Linked DNA regions of Drosophila melanogaster. The protein of the gene in region 1 interacts with the protein of each later gene in a pairwise test. Each region holds a gene or a part of one and is shown on either strand. Other genes may lie near its edges.

Region 1 (7,436 bases):
ATTGTATATATATGATTGGATATACACTTATTCTGAGTAACCAGATTAGTCATGGCTATGGGGTTTCACATTATATTTAGGCGACTGGATGGATAATTCTTGTGATGATATCAATGTGCTACCGAACTACATATGTACATACATATGTATGTATATATGAATATGTGGACAAATTGCTGCCGTGTGCTCTCGCATTAAATCAATAAACTTTGGCTCTATATTTGGACTTGGTCGTACTGGATGTGGCATTGTAGCGTTTCCCTAGAACGATCTCGAGTGCCCCCAGACGGTCCGGTCCGAGTGTCTTTGGCCTCTCGAGTTTCAGACCATGTTTCATTGTAAGTGTCGCCACAGCACTCATGAGCACTCCTCATGGAGTCAATTGGGTTGACTGCCTCGTTCTGCCCGGTTCGGTATATCAGTTTGTCGGTTTCTCGGTTGCCTTGCTGCATTGCTTGCCCCACTCGAATGGAAAACCCAATTCCAATTCCAATTCCAACTCCAATTCCAATTCCAATCTAAGTCCCATGCCGTGTAGCCGCAGAGAGCTCGACTTACTTGGAAATCGGAGATGATATTTATACTCTTGTGTTTTTCCCACTTGATTTATGCATGTGCACTTGGCGGGGAGTTCCTCGTACCGAATCGATATGAAAATTTGATTTCATTTGATTTCATTTGATTGAAATTTATTAACCGTCCACAGTTGTCAGCCCAACTCCATCCTCTGTTTCCGATATCGCTGACAGATCAGCGCGGTTCCAGGAAGTCACGCATTTAGAAATCAACTGGTTGCTTGGGTGGTGTAAAATCATTTTGGGAAACTTCTACTTCTGCGCTGCGTCTTGATTTCAATACTCGTACATCGGGGAGACAAATACATATACGAAATTATTTCGCTGGGGATCAGTTACATGCAGCGGAGCGGAGGGAAAACCCAATCCCCGGGGATCCAAAGTTTGTTTTTAGGGGAAAAAACAAAAGAAAGTGTCAACTCAGCGTACTACATTTTGAAATTTCTCGGTGGTGGTGTGAGTTCTCTGATTCAGTTCGACACGATTGTAGTTTCAACTTGGATTTGTTGGTGGGAAAACTTTGTTATTCATATTGATTAGTTGGGTCTTTAGTTTTGTGTATTTATTTGCTCTTAGCAAGCTTGCCAGCCTCGAAATTGCGGTGAGTTCAATTAATTGGAAATTTCCATTTGCTTTCGAGGCTTATTTTGGCTTAAAACTGATAAGTGGGCCTTTTCCAAGACTAATTTTGTAAATGATAGAGTATTTAATCCAAAGTCACTGCACAACACTTGGCCATAAGTTATTCCCATTTGGATTCCCCTTCTCAATTGTTTCAGATTTTTCGCGGTGATTTCTCAAAGTTTCGTCTTCTGTATTTCCTTTGGCTGCCTCTACTTCTTCAGAGACCTTTGTTCTGCCCACCTGCTCTCTCTCTATTTTCGGAAAGAGGTAAAGGTAAAGGGGTTCCCTTTCAGCTCAACTTCTGTCCATCCATCTGTGACAGCTTTGTACAAATTCGATCCGAGAGCTTTTATTCCTGCGCGGGATTGTCGGGCTTTTATATGTCCGCTCTGTTCATTTATTTTGGTCTTTTTTTTTTTTGTAGCCATTGTCTATGGACGGATCAAATTGAATTCCCGATCTCTATTAGCGATGCTCGACCACCCAGTTGACATCTTTCTAGCGACCGGCGGTGACTGGTGACCACCTGAGCGGTAAGCGGTAGGGTAAGCGACAACAACAACAACAACAACAGCAATAATAACCGGCAACAGAAGCAGCAGCGGCAATAGCTGCGATGTCAACCCGTAGATAAAAGATAAAAGACCCAGCGAGCGGCCATAAAAAATGACGTCGCCTTCTCGAGTTCCTCAGGTCTTTCAGTCCTCCAGTTGTTCAGGTCCCGAAAACCGAACCCCATTGTCATTGTCATCGACGTCTCTGTGTCCGCGTCTCCGAACCTCGAAGGTCGGTGTCGTCCAGGGCACAACTGTTCCCTACACGGCGAGAAAAAACGGGGCGGGTAGCCGGAGGCCAATTCGACATTCGACCTCAATTAGGGCAATCTTAATCGCATTAGCTGAAGAACCTGACGGCACAGCGATGCACTTGAAAAGTGACGGGGGAAATGTGCCTGTGTGTTGGGAAAACTATTTTACTCGAGCGTTTCCAGTGAAGTATTTGAATCTTAAGCCCCTGAATCTTGGGCAAGTTATTAGGGCAAAAGTAAATTTTACATGGATCAAAAAGTCCAAGGAAGTTCTTCCAACCCTATTCTCGTTCGCCTCGTTCGGCCATTTTTGGAGAATGCGGTTTCGAAACTATGAATAAATTAGGAAAACCAGATGCCGCCCGTAAATACGATTTTAAGGAAATGAAAAATAACCGAAACATGCAAATTCACGGATTGTTAATTAACATGAGAATTTGAAGATACATGTCTACATAGAGAAGTCAATGATGTGTGCATGCATATGTACATGTATGTACATATGAATCAAGGGTTGAATGGAAAGCAAAGCTGTAGTTACATAAAGATTTGAAAACTGTAAGTTTCATATGTGGGTATTCACATATTATGTAACATACATATTCCATGTACCATATTCAAATTGGGCTATCACCCCTGAAAACCATTCGTATATTATTCGAAATCCAGCTGTTCTCTAATCTGCACTTGCCAATCCATAATCTACAGCGATCCTCCGACTTTATATCAGCCATATATTATTTTTCGCTGTGTACACAGCGAATGCCCTATCGGTTATATGGCCCCTCAACTGGGCATACAACTGTCCATCAAACGAATTGGGTTCGAAACGGATCCGATACGATCCGATCCGATCCGATCCGAGGTCTTATCTCGGGTTCCCGGAGTTCTCAGTGCGAGTAACGAGTCTGAGTCTGGAGTTTCTGTTGCTTCAATTGGGATTCTTAGTTATATGTATTCACTTGGATTCTTACCTGCTGATAGCAACTTTGACGGCATCTGTTTAGCTGTTTGCCGGCAAAGGGAGCACTTGCGGGGGTGGGGGCGGTCGCGGTGACGGTGAAGGCGGCTGTTGGGTCAGCAGCAGCTCCTGGACTGGATGCCGATGCCAATGACGAGGATACCGATACCGATAGCGATAGCGATAACGGCAGCGATTTGGATCGAGCGGACCCCGCCCCCTGGGCGACGGAGAGGGCGGCAAGGGCGCAGGCCATCAAAACAAGTGAGTGGAACATGTTGTCTTCGTCCTCGTGGTTCGCCTCCTCCTTTCTCCAACGACTCCTTTGCTTGTTGTCGTCCTGCCACTCCCTCCTTTTTCTCCAATGGGCGTGGGCGTTGACTTGCACTCGTGTGTGTTGTTGTTGTGCCTGTGTTGTTGCGCGTGTGTGTGTGGGCGTGGAGAGCGGTGTGCTCAGCAGATTGATTAATTGATTGATTTTGTTTGTTTATTTTCGTATCAAGTGGTGGTGCTGTTGTTGTTGTTGTTGCTGCTGCTGCTGCGGCGGTTTTTTGCTGCTGCTGCGTTTGTTGTTATTGGAGCTGGCACATAATAATCGCAGCGTCGACTGCATTTAGTGAAGCGAAGAAGCTGTAAATCCTACTCTCTACCTCTCTTTTCGCTTCGGCTGCTCCTTGTGCTTCTCCCACTGCTCCTACACACCTCTTTCTCCGCCTGCCGCTTTGCTGTCCGTTAACTGTTACAGTTAACTGTAACTCCACATGCTGCGCGACACCAACAACAAGCTAGCTTACTTGTATTTGTATTTGTTATTGTTATTCTTTTTTCGGTGTTCTCTTTAACGTGCTTTATTTGCTTTGACTTTTGTGCTTTTAATTACCAAGCAGATGTAACAGTAACAAACGTGAAAAAAATGCTTATTTGTAACGATTTTGTTAAGTATACACACGAAAAAAAAGGCGACGACGGGACAATAACAAGAATAGCACACGCGCGACACGTAAAGGATGAAAAATCTAATGTATACGCTGTGCGAAATTACAATTTCGATTTCAGGAGCCGAACAACCGAAAAACGAGCGTCGCCGTCGAGGGTTAATGCTGCTCTGAACGAAACCAACGAAAACAGAGAGCACGCGAGAACCGAATTCGAAACAGAGATAAAAGCAACAACTGCAACATCGCTGGCAACTACAACAAGCGGCAACAACTACTGCAGTGCGAGCAGCCCAGTTAGCTATAGCTAGATTTGGCTTGAATGGCGAAGGGCGAGTCCTGCTGACCCAAAATATTGGATAAATGCGAGTACTCAGAGTTTGTTTTGTTGCTTTCTTCCTTACATAAATATAAATATATAAGATGTTGATAACATGCAGTATTACTATATATTGAAGAAATACTTCAACTGTTAGGGAAATTAAATATTTCATTTCAGTTTAGCTGGTAGAAGACATCTATCTAGCTAGCTTTTGGCCTAGTTCTCGAGCATTCCTATTAGACCCCGACCATCGAACTCGAGCAGCGAACATGCTCGGAACTGGAACTGGACAGGTTGCAAGTGGAGTCTGTGTGGAGTACCCACTTTGGGTGTTTTGTGTTCTTGTTGTTGTTGTTGGTTGAATGGGTAGGGGTGGTGTTCGGGCTTGGCTTTCGTGGGGCTAAGGTTGCAATCGGTTGCCTTGGGCTCGGCCTCTTGGGTTGGATTGGACTGGGGCTGGGGAGCTGGCTCCCGGGTTAGCTCTTTGATGATTCTGGGGTGGCAGAGCATAAAGCCAAAACCAAAGGTTCTGCTCTCTCCACTCCACTACACTCCACTTCATCGTCCGCCACTGCGGACATGCAGATGAATCAAAGCGGCCGCTGATTATAGCAACAATATGAAATGCCGCTACCCTTAACCCCCTATTGACCACCTTATAGGGGCATTGTTTATTTATACCCACCCTGGAGATCCGCAACTCACCGCTACTCAAAAACATCATAAAATCGGCGGCTACACACTGAATCCGCATCCCGGACTAAGGACCAAGGACTCCTGACCACGGTCCCCGAACTCCAGACAACGGACAATACGGACAGTACGGACACCAGACCCCGGACAGCCCTGCGTGTGTGTGTGTGCGTGTGTGTGTGTAGGTTTTTATAACCTCCATTTGCCAAAGTATAGTAAATTCTTTCAAAGCGTGTACTACATTTATTATTTAAGCCGCGCTGCCTCTGCAGAGTGCAGACCCCGCCCCCTTCCAGCCGGCTGCCCATTGTATTAGTCTGTTTTCCTATGTCTGTTTCACCGTATTAGCCGCCCCACCCGTTTTCCACTTTGCCCCCAATCCCACCATTCCAGTACTCGTCCCTACTTCAAGTTTATTTGCATATTTTGACTTTTATGCGGCAAAAATATTACAGACTGCGCTGCCTGCCAGCAAACAATATCAAAACCCCCTACTATCAACCCTCCCCTTCCCCGGACCCATCCCCCAGCAACACCAAAAACGTTAATAAAGCTAGAGAAGAACCCGTTCTCAAAAAAAAATATTAAAAAACCTAAAAAGTACAGTCCAACTTGGATATCTGCAAATTTGAAAATCGAAAAGGATATTCAACAAGAGGCTTCTGCAGCATATTTTCAGAAAAAAGCTATTCAGAATTTTTGAAATTCTGAATATTGAAAACTGAAAAGTAAATATATGTTTTGGTTTAAATGAGTGTACGATGTTGCACTGTTTAAACGAAAACGTGAAGAGGAAGTGGAAGTGGAAGCGAGGCGAAAAAACATTTTTTGCCCAACTTTTTTTCTTTTTCGGGAGTCCCGGGAAAAGTTTTGGGTTTCGGCTTGACTCCAGTGCAACATGTTGCATGTTGGAAATTGCCAAAAAAGAAAATACAAATAAAACTAAAAAAAAATATGAAAAGAAATGCCTGCAAAGAAAGCAGCAACCCACCATAGCGACAGAAAGCATACAAAAAAAAACAAAATAATAAATAAACAAAAAAACAGACAAGGTGGCTTGGAAATTTATGCGCCCATGGCGAGCCATTTGCAGTGCTCAACTTTTTGGTACAAACTCCCGTTTACTTAAACCCCCGCAACTCCCCTCTAACCCCACCACCCCGCCCACTTTGACTTTCCCACCACACGACCATTTTCCATTTCATTCCGCCGCTCTTCGAATTTCCATTTTCATTTTGCGGTTTTTGTTGTTGCCAGCCAATAAATAAAAAGGGCCGCAACGAGAACGCGAAAAAAACCGTTAGCCCTGTCGCAACATTACGGTGAACTGTCGAAATGATCGCCAGAGAGAAGGTAATTAGGGAAGAACAAGCAGTCAGCTGACTGCACCGAAAAAAAATCGTATGCATTAGCAATCAATTTTCTCATTTTATATAAAAGGTAGAACTCGACAGGATTTCCAAAAAAATTAGTTTTGAATTAATATGCTGAAGCTTTTTGTACTTCACTTAGCATTTGCACAACCAGTTTCCACATACATAACTTCTTTCTAAATATTTTTGCAGTGTAAAAGCAATGCTTCACACAATCCCGCATTGAACTAGTTGTAGTTACATATACCTGATACCCTTTACCTTAAAAGGTATAATGTATTCGATGAAAACTATGTACACTTGTTATACAGAAAAAACGAATCGGAAATATTGACTTTTTGCAAAAAATCGATCGTCTATCTTTTTTATGTAAAAATTTATCCGTTTTTTAATCAGAACATTTTAAATAATGGCCAAATCATGGAATGCCATACCTCGTTGAGTTCGTAATTAAATTTCCCATCAAACTATGTTCAAAAATGGAAATTTTATTTTTTGGCCATTTTTTGCAAATTTTGATGATGTTACCCCTTACAAAAAATGCGAAAATTTGGCCAAAAATTAATTTTACACAGTCCGTCAAAAAAAGATATAGATAGTTAGTATTGGTAATTACGAGTACAAAAAATATTTATCTCTGAGCTTTCTGACAATTTTTAGCCAAGTTATACCGAAAAAACGAATCGGAAATATTGACTTTTTGCAAAAAATCGATCGTCTGTCTTTTTTCTGTAAAAAATTATCAGTTTTTTAATCAGAACATTTTAAATAATGGCCCAATCATGGAATGCCATACATCGTTGAGCTCGTAATTAAATTTCCAATCAAACTGTGTTCAAAAATGGAAATTTTATTTTTTGGCCATTTTTTGCAAATTTTGATGATGTTACCCCTTACAAAAAATGCGAAAATTTGGCCAAAAATTAATTTTACACAGTCCGTCAAAAAAAGATATAGATAGTTAGTATTGGTAATTACGAGTAAAAAAATATTTATCTCTGAGCTTTCTGACCATTTTTAGCCGAATTATACCGAAAAAACGAATCGGAAATATTGACTTTTTGCAAAAAATCGATCGTCTGTTTTTTTTCTGTAAAAAATTATCAGTTTTTTAATCAGAACATTTTAAATAATGGCCCAATCAT
Region 2 (7,243 bases), on another chromosome or scaffold:
TGATGTTGCTGCTGTTGGTGTTGCTGCTGATGTTGTTGTTGTTGCTGCTGCTGCTGCATGTGTTGCTGCTGATGTTGATGGTGGTGCATATTCTGCTGATGTTGCTGCTGCTGCTGTTGTTGTTGCTGTTGATGCTGCTGCTGCTGGGGCGACGGGCCCTGACCCTGCGGCTGCAGTCCCAACGTAGTAGAGTCAAGTGTAAATGTTCCAATGGTCGGAAACGTTGTTGGGATTCCCAGGTTGCGAATGGCATTCATGTTGAAATAACTATCGCATGGCAAGTTGTCATAGATTTCTACAGCATTGCAGGGGAAATAAAATCAAACATTATAAGGACTAAAATAACAACATGCCAAATAGTTTAACATGCCAATAGTTTAAAACAAGGACTTATATAAACTAGATTAATAAGAGACCCAATTTCGGACTTACCTTCGCCGGTACGGTACACCTTCGATTGGGTATTCATGTTTGATTGATTGATTGATTGGATATTAACAAACAAAGAAAATGCTGATAAGGACTAGCAAATTGGAGACTGGTTCTTGGCGATGGTGATTGCGATGTAAGAGGTGTTATCGGATGGTCAGTGGTTTAATCCGATTTACCAATAATGGATGCGAATGACGAGAATTATTGGAACGAGAGTTAAAGTTGAAGAAAGCGCGAAAAATGACCGAAAACAGATTTCGTGATATCACTTCTGTTAAATTTTGTTTTTATGTTTTTTTTTTCTTTTTTTTATATTTTTCGTGTAGTTTTATATCAAAGAGAAAAAACTAAGCAATAAATACGTATTTGTTTTTTATTTGTTGTTTGTTTTGTTTTTTGTGTATATATATTTTGGCTAAACACTGGCACAAGAGGCACTGAAATTCCTTGTCTTCGAAGTTAATAAAAATTTTTGTCTTTTCTTGAGGGCATTCCCCGCAAAAAATGTGGTTGTTTTACTTAGCTTTCCTTTGCTGTTGTTGGTTTGTTTGTTTGTTGGTTTTTTGTGTTCCTTGTTGTTTTGTGTTTTTATATTTCTTGTAAAAAATGCCGACAAATATTGTAACGTTGTTGGTTTGTTTTGGTAGTTTGAAGTTCCTTCCTGGGTCTGTTGTAGGTTGTATTTCTTTTTAAAGTTGTTGTTCTTGAAATATTTTTTTTGTTTGTTTTGTGTATTCAAAATATTGTGGTTTTACGATGAAAATGCACACCAGCTCTGCTGCCGTTGGTGTTTTTATTTTTGTTCGAGTTTTGAATTATTATTGAATTATTGCATTTTGTTTGAAATGAATTTGGTTGATTTTTTTTTATATTTTTACTTTAGTTTTACTAGAAAAATACACTGGGAATACTTTTTACTTTTGGGTTAGATTAGCTTTGTTTGATATTTGAATATTTTGTGTGTTTTGCTTGATTATATTGGTTTCTATTTAGTATACATATATATAATATATATTTTGTAGGCAATCGTTGTGGTTTATAGGAAGTAGTAGTGATTTTTTATTTACTTTCGAATACCTTTAGTACAACGATGATTTTTGGGGGACGAGGTTTAAATCTCCTTCTTCCTCTTCTCGGGACTTCCGTTTCCGGTTCCTCGCTCACTCTCTCTCTGTATCTTTCTTTCTTTCTGTGTCGATTTCCTATTTTGTTTCGCTGTACGTTGCTATTACTTTTCGGTTGCACGATTTGTATAATTTGTTTTTTCTTTTTTGTTGTTTTGTTGCTGTTTTATTGCTGTTTCATTTACTATTCACTAAGCAAAAATTATGAGTTTTAATGTTTTTTTGTTTTTGTTTTTATATATGTATATAATAGATATAGGACACCCGTTATGTAAAGTTATCCTCGCTCATTTACTATGTTGAACTTTAAGTCTACGATTTATTTTGTTTTGTTTAAATATATATATTTTTTGAATGCGTTTTGAAGTCTTTTCATAACCTAGGGTTTTTATTTTTTGCTTTGTGTTGGTTGGTTTTGTTGTTTATTCACTTATTCCATTGTTTTGTTTTTGTTTTCTCGGTTGACGCTCACTAGATTTAAGCTTAGTTTAATAGTTTATATAATATAATATATAATATACTATAGTATATATGTATCGAAGTCCTTTAAGATATCACGAATTTGTTTCAATGTTTTTTATCTTTTCATTTGCATTTGCTCTTAAGTGTAAAGTTGTTGTTGGTTTAAGATGTTTTTCTGCTTTCTGCTTCCTCTTTCGCTCCTTCTTCTTCTTCGCCTACTGTTAAAAATGACGGGGTTTTCCTTTCATTTAATTAGAGATTTTTTTGTGGTTTTTCTTTAGGTTTTTGTTTTTTTTTTTTCTTTAAATTTATAAATTTACAGTAATTATCACAGAGTTGTTAAATCTTTCTTTGAATTTGTTTTGTTTTTCTTTTCTCCGTTTTACTTCCGTTTGTTGCAGTTGCTTTTGCTGTTTTAGACTTTTAACATTTCTCACTAGGTACACTTATAAAAAAATCTGAATTGAAAACTAGTAAAAAACAATGTTTTATTGGAAAAAATAAAAACTGTTTTTTTGGCACAAGGCCGCAGTTTTGAATTTGTTATGCGTTCTCTATATATATTGGCTTAATCCGTTTATTTTTTTTTCACTAATTTATTGTTTTAATTAAATTTATTGGCTAAGTTCAATTGCTGGTGTTGTTGTTGTAGGTCTGTGTAAAACGTGACTTAAAACTTATAGAATTCTTGTAGATTTTTGGTTTTAAATGTTTTCTTTATTGTTACCGTTATTTTTTTAGTATATATTTTTTATTCACACTTTTTTTGCGGCACAATTGTTGCTTGATCGGTTTTATTCAGCTCTCCTCGCTTCTCCTCCATTTATCGCTCTGTCTCCCACTTCCCTTTCGCCCTTGTGGGCGTTTATCAGTTGTTTTTGGACTTAAATTCTAGCAGTGTTTGTTTTTATGTTTAGTTAAATAATTTAGATTGATGTTGCGTTTTAAATTAAATCGTTTTTAATATGTTTAAATTATTTGTTGTTGATTTACTCCCGGTTATTTTGTACTTTAAAACATTAATTCAGTTGTTTGTTGGTTGTTGTTTGTTTGTTGTTGTTGCTGCTTTTGTAGCTCGGTTGTTGATGTCTTAATTTAAATTAATTAGCAAATTGAATTCACTCTGACTTAACAACAAAAAATTCGTAATTAAATTAAAGCTTTTCAGGAAAAATAATGAGGAATTTGGGATTTATTTAGCGTTTTTCCAAGTGTAGGTTTTGCGGTTTTGCTTGAATTGTTTTTGTTTTATTCGAGAGTCCGAACGCCGCAGCGCCGTTGCCTTTGACTTCACGTTAGTTTCGTTTCCCGTTGCTTTTTTGTTTTCAGTGCTTTTGCCGTTTTCTTGTTAAACTCCGCTTTACTTGCTCCTTCGTGGTTTGCCTTTTATTTTGTTTTAGCTTTTCTTTTTGTTTATTTATTTGTTGGTGCTTTTGAGTATTGACGAGTTAATTTCACAGCGTTTCAATTTGTTTGGTTTGTTGTTGGTTTTGTTGTTGTTTTATTTGAAAGTCTTCGTTTCAAGCTTGGCTTGTTTTTTATGTTGTTTGTTGTTTTGTTTTCTTTTTTTATTTGCGCAGTCGCTTTATCTCCCTCTCTGTCTGTCTCGCTCACACCGACGGGCGGCGTAAAAATTCTCGTTTTTTCTGTTTTGTGTGTTTTTCTTTGCAAAGCAAACGAAACAAAAACAAAGAAGAGTCCAAAAAACTTAAAAAGTTTTTGCTTTGACTTTTTCCTTTTGAGCTATGTTGTTGTTGTTTTTTATTTCTGCTGTAACTTTCAATTATTTGCGATTTATATTTGTATGTATTATTTTTTGATTCGTTTTCGATGGTGATTTTTTTATTTTTTTATCATATTTGTTGTTGTTTTTTTATATTATTATTATTTTTTCAGATTATGATGAAAGTGATGTCAAAACGGAGTTTTAGTTACAAAAGCTGTTGAATGAGAAAAAGAGAAAGGTGGAAACGATTAAGAAAAATTAATACATCTTTTTTATTATTTCTTTTATTTTTGGCTAGTGAAATCTACACCGAAAGTCTTGCTGCAGTTTTATCGATTTTTCAGTGTTGCAAATGGAGAGATTTTTGCCTGCCGGAAAAAATTGCACACACACTGGCGCAACCTACTACGCACACACACATGCACGCCCATACACACGCACACGCAATTGCAATCGTAAACTATTTTTACACATTATTGTTGTGGTTTTTAGCGTAAAATTAGCAACCCCGCAGACTGCACACACACATGCACAGTCACCGAAGTGCCAAGTTGGTAGCAAAAAAACGAATTTTCATCAACTTTTTTTTCGGGCTGCAAATTTGGTACCCTCAAACGCACACACACACACACAGAAGCGTAGAAAATCTGGCTGGGCAACGAAAAAACGTTAATTCGCCATTTAAAAACTAATTTCCCTAACACATTTCATATTTTTCCATCACAGCTTTGTTCGCGGCACATTTTCTGCATATTTTCGTTCCGAATTTGAGTTAAATAATAGTCCTATTTGAAGCGAACGAGAATTTTCTGGACCAGCCACACGTACCACACGACAGCACAACAACTGCTAGCGGGCGCCATATTTGCCGACAGCACGATGGCAGTGTTGGAAGGTGTGCGAAGAGAGGGACAATTGTGACGTCAGTGGTCATGGGAGTAGGAGCAGGGATCTCTTAGCTTTTCTATTCCTATATTTAAATAATCAAAACTTATCTAAGATAACGATTTAACTTTAATTCAGTTAAAGGGACTATCTTTAATGCAATGTCTAAAAGTAGTAGAAGTGCAGGGTTATACATCTATGTCATTTTCTATGCTATCACTGCAAATTATAAAATATGAATTGTATGTGACTTTTATGTAATATTCTTAGTTTTAATAATAAACAAAAGCAATTTATGTAATTAAATGGATTATTACTAAGAAAATTACATCTAAATATTTAATTTTAAACTGTACGTATTCGAGACAAGAACCATCGCTAGCTATTTCTAACTTAAGCCAACCCCAAAATCTTTTCGCCTTTTATTAAGCGGCAATATATTGATTTAAAAAATGAAACTAGTTTTATTTGTTCTGATAAATAAATATGGAAGATATGTTATTATCTTTGTAAAATTGGAATTCCCCCAAAAATGCAGAAGTGTATTCACTTAGTTTAATTCTTAATTTTCGGAAGTTCTGTCACATAAAACATAAAACACAAAAAATCCCTTTTTTAGATTCCTTTTAGCAGCCCACAGAAAATCACATTAGTTTTACGTCTTCCTGGGTCTTTTAACGAATTTTATTTCAGCAGCTCCTTGGTTGCTTAATCCATAATTAACTTAAATGGTATTTTGCATGATAATGGGATCCAATACATATGTATGCTGATAAATTGATTATCCTTGAACAGATTTTTAAAGATTACAATTTACAAAATCTAGTTAATTGGTTACGGTGCCTTTTATACATTCGACAGTGCAAAATGTTATCAACATGAATAGATTATCAAAACGCCCTCGCTAAATATAAATCTCGGGCTAATTGTAGTTAAAAAGATTTAATATCATGTTTATAATTTTTACGTTACGAGCACTTCGATTTGGTCACACATTAAATTGCATCTGGTTTTGCATATTTTAGGGTTATTTAATTGCCTGGATTGCGTTACATTTCTATACACATTTGCAAAAGGTCCAAAGTTTGGTCTCTGTGTTGTTCTAGGGATATATTTCAAACATATATTTTTGTGACAATATTTGTTGTGTATGGTGCAGTTTATATGGAATATAAATAAATACGTCTTTATGTATGTACAGCGAAATTTTAAAATTTTAAAAACCCGTTTAGCTATAGGCTATTAAAACTGTCCATTGCTTAAAAGGGCATGAAATTTCCTCAGCTTACATGGCTTTAATACATTTCAATATTCATTTGAAGACAAACTGTTTAACATTTTAATCTTAGTGGCAAAATCAAGAATTTGGGACATAACACGGTCTTGAATATCAATAAAAATGTCAAGTATATTTGGCAGTTCGCCCACTCACGTGTAACACAAACACGTACACGATTATTTTACAAATGTTAAGTACACGAAGCAAAAGTGAAACCGAAATCTAAATGTAAATGCTCAATGAATTTACGTACACGATAACTTGTAGGTAATAACTAATGTTACATATTATTCTCTTCTCTTTCACTTAAGAACTATGCAGATATTTGCAATTAACTAAGAAAACAAGTTGCGGCAAGGCGAGAATTGGGTTGCCATCTTAGGGCTTGCTGTCGAAGCCAGCGAAATCCGACGCCTCCGACTCATCGTCATCCCTCTCGACGCCGATGCAATGGATTCCAGTCCGCAGCATAGGAGTACCCTTGCCCTTGCCCAACACCCGAGCGGCTATGACCAGCTGTAGCAGCTCCTTGGCGTTCGATGAGCTGACAATGTGCAGGACCTCGCGCAACAGCTTCTCCTTGTAGGCAAAGAACTCGATTTTCATTTCGAAAAAGTCGTGCTCATCATGCTTGGTGCCCTCGAACTCCGTGATCCTGCAGTGCAAGCTCGGCGTGGCGCTAATCACCGGCTCAAATTTGCTGGCCAGCGTCTTGGCATCGCCGAATAGCGACGTCGGCAGCTTCAGTTCGATCAGATAGCGATGCCTGATCTGCAGAAAGCCCAGGCTCACCACAATCGTGTCACCAGACCTTTGGTATGTCACACAGCTGTCCGATTCGAAGTCATCCTTCACCGTGTTCGTGTCGAAGTGCACATGGTGGTCTTGAAAAAAGAAAAGTGGATGTTAGATTTGGTTAAAAAAAAAACAATAAGTATAAATCTATAAATATAAATCTATGCATACATCTAAGGACTGGTGGTTCTATAGTTGTGCATGGTTGGAAAGTAATACATTTTAATTACATTTAGAGTTTCAAAGTAAGGCTCTAGCTACTATGTATAAATTAATTATATAAACCTTTACTTCATGTTTTTCAGTCGTATCTGGAATTTCACAAGCCATCTTTAAGCCTGACCTTTTACTAGTTACGCAGTTTCCCTGATGTTTGCATGTTTGCAAATTGTAAATTTGCACAGACTTTAATTGAGAATCTTATTTGTTAAATAATGATAAATTGTGTGTCCGCGGAGCCTAAGGTCAGCCAGGTAGACAGGTAAAATCGAGTGAAATTACCCTAGTAAGTAAAATATTCCAAATATTCCGAGATAAACA
Region 3 (6,231 bases), on another chromosome or scaffold:
TATGCCCTTCAAAGTTTAACTTGCGAATTACTGCAGAAGTCAGCTTCAAGTTTTTCGCAGTTGTCATACTTTTCGTGACCTTGTCACCCCATAAACTTTTTATGTAGCATCCGTTTTAATATGTTTATGATTTAGTAAATATAAACCTGTCGAAACGCTTAAGCAATAAATTAGGTCTTTAGTAGTAAATTAATTCATTTAATTGAAGTATAGAATAGTCGTATCCCTTAGCAACACACACAAAATACCTTAAATTTCACAATCAACCAAAGCTATTTCACGTGTCTCATTTGTAAGGATGACTTCGCAGAAACTGATGCTTTTCTCCGCATAATTCCAGCACTTATCGCATTTTCGTTAATTATACGCTTTCAGCAAAGTCGGAATTCCAATTTCGATGGTGGGAAAAGGAATAATCCTGTCGATAATGAAGTGCTGGGTACATGGAATTTAATTTATTTATTAATATCTTCTGGCGCCCCAAAAGGAGGCAGTAAACAGAAGAGCGACTTTATACAAGCATTGGCGAGTTGGGGGTAAAATATAATAATTAAAGCTATGTAAATTTGCTATGCGGCCGGGATTTTCAAATAAAGCTCAACCAGTGGCAGATATAAGAGTTTCCAAGCACGTGACAATATTACCAAAGGCGCTGCCCCCAGGGCAAACAACATTGGTGTACAAATAAATCAATTCTGCCTTCTGGCAAAACACTGCGGGGGCGAAACAGAAAAAAGTTAAAATTTATTTGAAAAGCGTGAAGGAGATGGCCACTGCTGCCACAAGTCCGATCGGCTCACCTTTCACCTGCCCCAGAAATTCCCCTCTAATGCCGCACAAATTAGGCACAAGAGAACAGAAATTGACCTGAAATCAAATACAAGTCAACATAAATTCAATTTCGAACATTCCCCAGCTCAAGGTCCTTAAGTTGCTAGGCAGATAAACCACCCTGTTCTGGACTAGGACTGAGTTCCTCAGCTTCATGGGGCTTCTAAAGTTGCGTGTAAACAATTTGTGACCCAAAAAGATAGGAAACGACACATTTCTGCCAATAAAGTGTATTAAAAGTAAATCAGAGAAAGTGTATCGAAACCCTTTACGATTGGTATGGTTATGCCACCCAAATGTTCATTGAATTTTAAGCCAGTCGAGCGTTTTTCTGAATTTAGCACATCCGCAAGGGCAGTCCATTGATTTCAATGCATTGTATTTTTTTTTAATTGCAAATAAAGCTTAGGTTTTTATTCTTGGATGTCCGGGAATCAATACTATTCTCTTAAGTTATACGCTTAAATCAAAATTGTATGATTGTTAAGTAATCCTTTTACAATTTTAATTGTTTTCGCATGCTAAGCCTGAATGAAACTTTTCCCTTCTTATTCTGTATATAAAAACACAGCATCAGTTTTATTCGAAACTTCTGCACAAAATATTCTTGGGAAGTGTGTGTGTGTGTGTGTGTGTGTGTATGCACTAAGTGTTTACTGTTTGTCGAGTAGTTAGTTTCAAAGCAAATATTTGAGAGGCTTCTGTTTGCCGTTCCTGCAGTAGCATTACGTATACGCCACGTGGCACGCGCAACCTTAAGCACCCTTACATCAGGCCAGCGTTTTCATTGACAACACATCCACTGGCGTAAATTGCACGGTTGGTTACTCGCATTTGATTATCGATGCTGTGCAATACTCTGGAGACAGCGACGTCAGCTCCCAGCCCAGTTTATGTGGCAACTAGCTGAAGTTCAAACAATCGATGCCATTGGCAGCACGAATTTCTCTATTTTTCCGTCACAAAATCCGTGGGTCTTCCCTTATTTGCAGACTGTTTTGAAACCAAGGCTTTTGAAAATGTAACGCTTTTGTATCACTTATTTTTGAGAAGGATGAGAGAAGCCAATGTTCACAAACAGACAGCTCGCAGTGCACGCAATGAGGTACTGGAAATCGTTAAAAAAAATTCTTATTTTAAATGTGAAAAATTTGATTTTCAGGACTGAATATTTCGACCAAAAGCAATTATAACATTCTTCACGCTTTTTTCGCAGCATAAAATAACTCGGATGTTTCATGTTTCTCCACGTGTACTTCGTGGTAACAAAAACTGAATATAAAACGCTCATTTTTCCATTTTTTGCCTCCATCAGATGATGCCCTCTGCACTCGAAACCATCACATTCATCGAATTTGCAGAGAGACTGGGTTGAACGATTGTCAATGCTTTTAGCTAAATGATGTTGTACATAGCCAAGTGTAAGTATGAAATGGATTGATCGATATGTGCGCAATTTTAATTCAATATTCAGACTTTATTGTTTAAGCCTTTAATAGGGATCCACGTTGCAGTGCTGACATCTGCCATTGACGATGGTATTACCACCCCTCCGGTAAATGGTGCCACCTCCACCGCCACTACCGTCATTTCCACGGGAAATGACCACATTACCATCGCCAGGGGATGAGGAGAAGCTGCGGTACTGCTGGCCATCCAGGTAGACGGGTTCACCATTCGGATTGGGACCTTTTCGAGTGCATATTATTATTCATTAAGTTGTCCAATTGCCTAGCTGGCAAAACAATCGCAACTTACAAGTCAGACAGACGCCATTCACCACCACTGTGCTGGGATGAGCTGGAAATAATTTCAGTGTGTATCAATTAGCGTCAGCAGCAATCCCGTCCAGCTTACCGCCGATCAGAGTCGGAATTAAAGCCAACGGGAGCAGCACACACGTCAGGTACTTCATATTAAAGCCGATAGATAGATGACCGTATCGACTCTCACGCTACTTATATAGTCCGGCACTTGATTCGATCCGAATCAAAATCGATTTGCATAAGCCTAAGCGTTTGGAGCTTTCGATTTGTATTTGAACAATATATTTAAATTAATTTCACACTAGAACACTATCAAATCGCAATTCGATGGGGTTTTCCGCACACGGTTTTGTGGCATCAGGTCGACGTAGTTGATTTCCTTGAACTTCTTCAAAGAAACTTATGACAGTCACGCCCCGAAAAGTCGGTTTACAATTATTCCCAGACGTAAACATGAATGGCAAGCGATTCCAGAGAATCGCACACCATTAAATTTTATCCATACATCTAAGGAAAACTGGTTACAGAACCGAAAGTCGTGACTCGTGAGTGAAATGTAGAAGCTTTAGTTCTAAAGCTAACAATTTATATTTAAATAATAAGATACTTAATACAATGAAAAAGCAAAAAATATATTTGAAAACAAATACATTTCATTAAAAATAAATCTTTGCAACTTTGTAGAAATGAAAAGTGTCTGACTTATTATAGATTTTACAGATTTTGTGTATTTGTTATGTTAAAAAGGTAACGTAGAGTATCTTGAATGCAATACGACTGACCAACTGATGCGCTACAGATTGTTTTTGAAACCCATCCGCGGGCAATTCCCTGAGATTAATACTTAATACATACGTAGTGGTTTGTTTGCACAGCAATAGTTCTTTGCAGCGATAAGGTCTGTTTGGGTTTGAATTCGAATTCAAATTCAGTATCGGAATCGGAATCGATGAGTGCATCGTATATAAGCTGCTGTTGCGGTTCGTACCTGGTCCAGACCAGTTCGACGTTCTAATAGACCAGCCACAATGAGAACCTTGACGGCATTTGCGATTATCGCTTTTTTTGCACTGGCTCTAACGGAGGCGGCTGTTTACATCGGTGGCGGTTGCTACGACTGTAAGTCAATGCCTATTAATTTGGGCCATTTATTCAAAAATTGTTCAACGATTTTCGTCGCTGCCACATCAGGCATAGTTTAAAAGGAAATTTTGTGTTTTCATTAGCGAAAGTTTGAATGAACAATCAATTTGTTATTATATTATGGTATTTCTTGGCAACGAAAGTCATTAAGTGATTATTAACGATACTCTAAACATTTGTTATTGGTTAAGTTTATGAATAATATAATTCCGAACACTTAGCTTTAAGCTTTTAATTTCTATAGCGCATAGTACATTTGCTGGCTTGCGTAAAAAATGCAGTAGCTAGCGCGCAATTAAGTAACTACTACTCCTCAAGAAACTGATTTAAATATCACTATTAGGTAATCCACCCGGAGGCCAAGGACCTGGAGTCTACACAGGTGGCAACGGAGGACGAGGAGGAGGAGGTGGATACAACGCAGGCGGAGGCGGTGGAGGATACTACAACGGCGGCGGAGGTGGAGGAGGTGGCCGTCGTCCAGTATATTCGGGCAACTTTGGACCCGGCTATGGTAACGGCGGAGGAGGAGGTGGAGGAGGCTACGGAGGCGGCGGTGGAGGTGGCTACGATGATGGCGGTCTTACGCAGATTATAAGCGGCTGAGATTATAATCTCGAAGCTTTGCTAGCGCTAAGCGCGAAGAGCAAGCATCGTCTGAAACTTAGATTATATAGACTTAAATAAAAAAAATATATATTTTATCAGCGGTGACTACTTTTATATACTTACAGAATGAGCTTTTGTTAGGTTTTGTTAAAGGTTAAAAACAAGTCCCTCTGTTAAAGTAAAACTAGTGAATAAACTTATCAAATACTCAGCTAACGCTACTAATAAATGGCATGCCACCTATAGCTTCTAAAAATAATATCCTTAATTCCTGTGCATTTTATAATTGGTATTCATTGTAATTCAGTTCAGACACGTATAAATGAGTAGCAACTGTTCAAGAGTGATGATTAATATACCCTTAAAGCCATAAAACCGACTGTGCTGTTCGGTTGAAGGAGTCAAAGTCCTGCAAAGGAAATAATTCATAAGCTCTTCAAAGTTTCAGCCATCCTGCTTGTCAGTCTTAATTAAAGGACTTGCCCTGGCTAAATATGCAAGGGCATCGAATTTCCAAAAAGTTGAACCAAAAGAACCGCTCGGTGAATCCACAAGCACTTAATTGATACAATTACAAGTTCGATTTTTGTTCGTTCGGCGAGCTTTTGGTGAGCTAAGCTGAAGCAAATGAACCGGAATCAAATTAAGGGTCATTAAGTATAATTATCGGTATCATAGCATGCATTTTGTTAAACAGTTTTCAAGGACTTCCTTTCTTTAAGTTGGTTCTTTTGCATTTAAGAAAAGGTTGCGTGCACGCTTAAAAATAGTACATTTCGTGGATATATGTTTAGTTAAGACTCTTGCAGCACATGTATAATTACACATTCGAAACGAAAATAACCATTTCAAAGTAGATACGCTTAAAGATTACTTTATTTATAGCCTGTGCAATCAGTAGTTTTAGAATGAGTAGTTTTAGTAGTAGTAGTAGTTTTAGAAGTAGAATGCGCACATCGAAAATCTTCAGTGTCAGTAAAGTAGCTTCGGGTTTTCAGTGGAAGAAGTAGCACATTGGGCTTAGATTAATTTTCTAAGAAAATCATGCTTTTATTAAATATATACCCATTAAACATTGATATTAGTATATATTCATGGGAGAAATAGTAATTTGGTAATAATTTATTTGCTGAATACACATGTATAAAAATGTTCATTCTTTTTCCAATGAATACATTTCCTTTCGTTTAGGCTCAAAGGAAGTGTTGCTCAGGATTACCTCCTTGTCGATGTCAGGGCTCGCAGTGTGGGTTCTCTCCAGGATGTGGGCAATCTAAAGATGTTGCCCAAAGCATTAAGCCTCCTGAAAAATTAATATTTGCAGTGCACTTCATAAAAACTGTTTTTTTTTCCCCCCGCTAATATGAAAAGATTTCGCCTTGCCAAGCACTTTTTCAATTAGACACTTACAAAGAAGCACCACAAGTTAGGTGCAAAATTCGCTGCTGCATGCAACAGCAATTGAGATTCGCAGTGACGGGTCCTTGGGGCAGGTAATGGTTGCAGAGCCATTAGCGTTCAATTTCCATGCTGCAAGGTAAAAACTAAGCGAGCTGCAAAATTAACCTGAAACAGCCACCCACTTTCTATGCGAACACGAGCCGCTCTTAGAACGGCGAACTTTATGTTCTATATGGCAAAGTTTGTTGCAATACGATGATGCATAGCGGGCGAAAATTAAAAATGGCATTAAATATATAACAAACTTTTAGGCTGTTGGTCTGATTCTCTAGTTATTAGTTTTCTATGATCTAAGTAAATTATGATTTATTACGCGTCAGTATTAGACTAGTTACTTAATTTACTACGTAAACCTTTTAATATTTGAGAAAATCCATTTATATTTTCCTTTCTGCTTTTGGAAAAGAAACAATATATAACA

The links. Proteins that work in one complex are often made in the same cells at the same time.
Region 2: the proteins of fend (region 1) and Unr interact in a two-hybrid assay, tested with the Drosophila melanogaster proteins (one large-scale study listed by BioGRID).
Region 3: the proteins of fend (region 1) and BomBc3 interact in a two-hybrid assay, tested with the Drosophila melanogaster proteins (one large-scale study listed by BioGRID).

What each region holds. Positions count from the first base shown.
Region 1 is NC_004354.4:9,130,959-9,138,394, forward strand, and holds the start of fend (forked end), read right to left. Parts: upstream 4,142-7,436; 5' UTR 3,246-4,141; coding exon 2,982-3,245; intron 1-2,981. UniProt on the Drosophila melanogaster protein: Involved in the normal targeting of ventral muscle, muscle 12, by motoneurons. May function as an axon guidance molecule involved in neuromuscular specificity.
Region 2 is NT_037436.4:8,437,761-8,445,003, forward strand, and holds the start of Unr (upstream of N-ras), read right to left. Parts: upstream 3,948-7,243; 5' UTR 470-3,947; coding exon 433-469; intron 296-432; coding exon 1-295. Other genes in the region: CG6983 (uncharacterized protein), read right to left, coding at 6,287-6,792. UniProt on the Drosophila melanogaster protein: RNA-binding protein that acts as a regulator of dosage compensation in both males and females.
Region 3 is NT_033777.3:22,083,718-22,089,948, reverse strand, and holds BomBc3 (bomanin bicipital 3), read right to left. Parts: upstream 2,767-6,231; 5' UTR 2,747-2,766; coding exon 2,689-2,746; intron 2,632-2,688; coding exon 2,590-2,631; intron 2,521-2,589; coding exon 2,324-2,520; 3' UTR 1,448-2,323; downstream 1-1,447. Other genes in the region: BomT3 (bomanin tailed 3), read left to right, coding at 3,626-3,716, 4,084-4,346.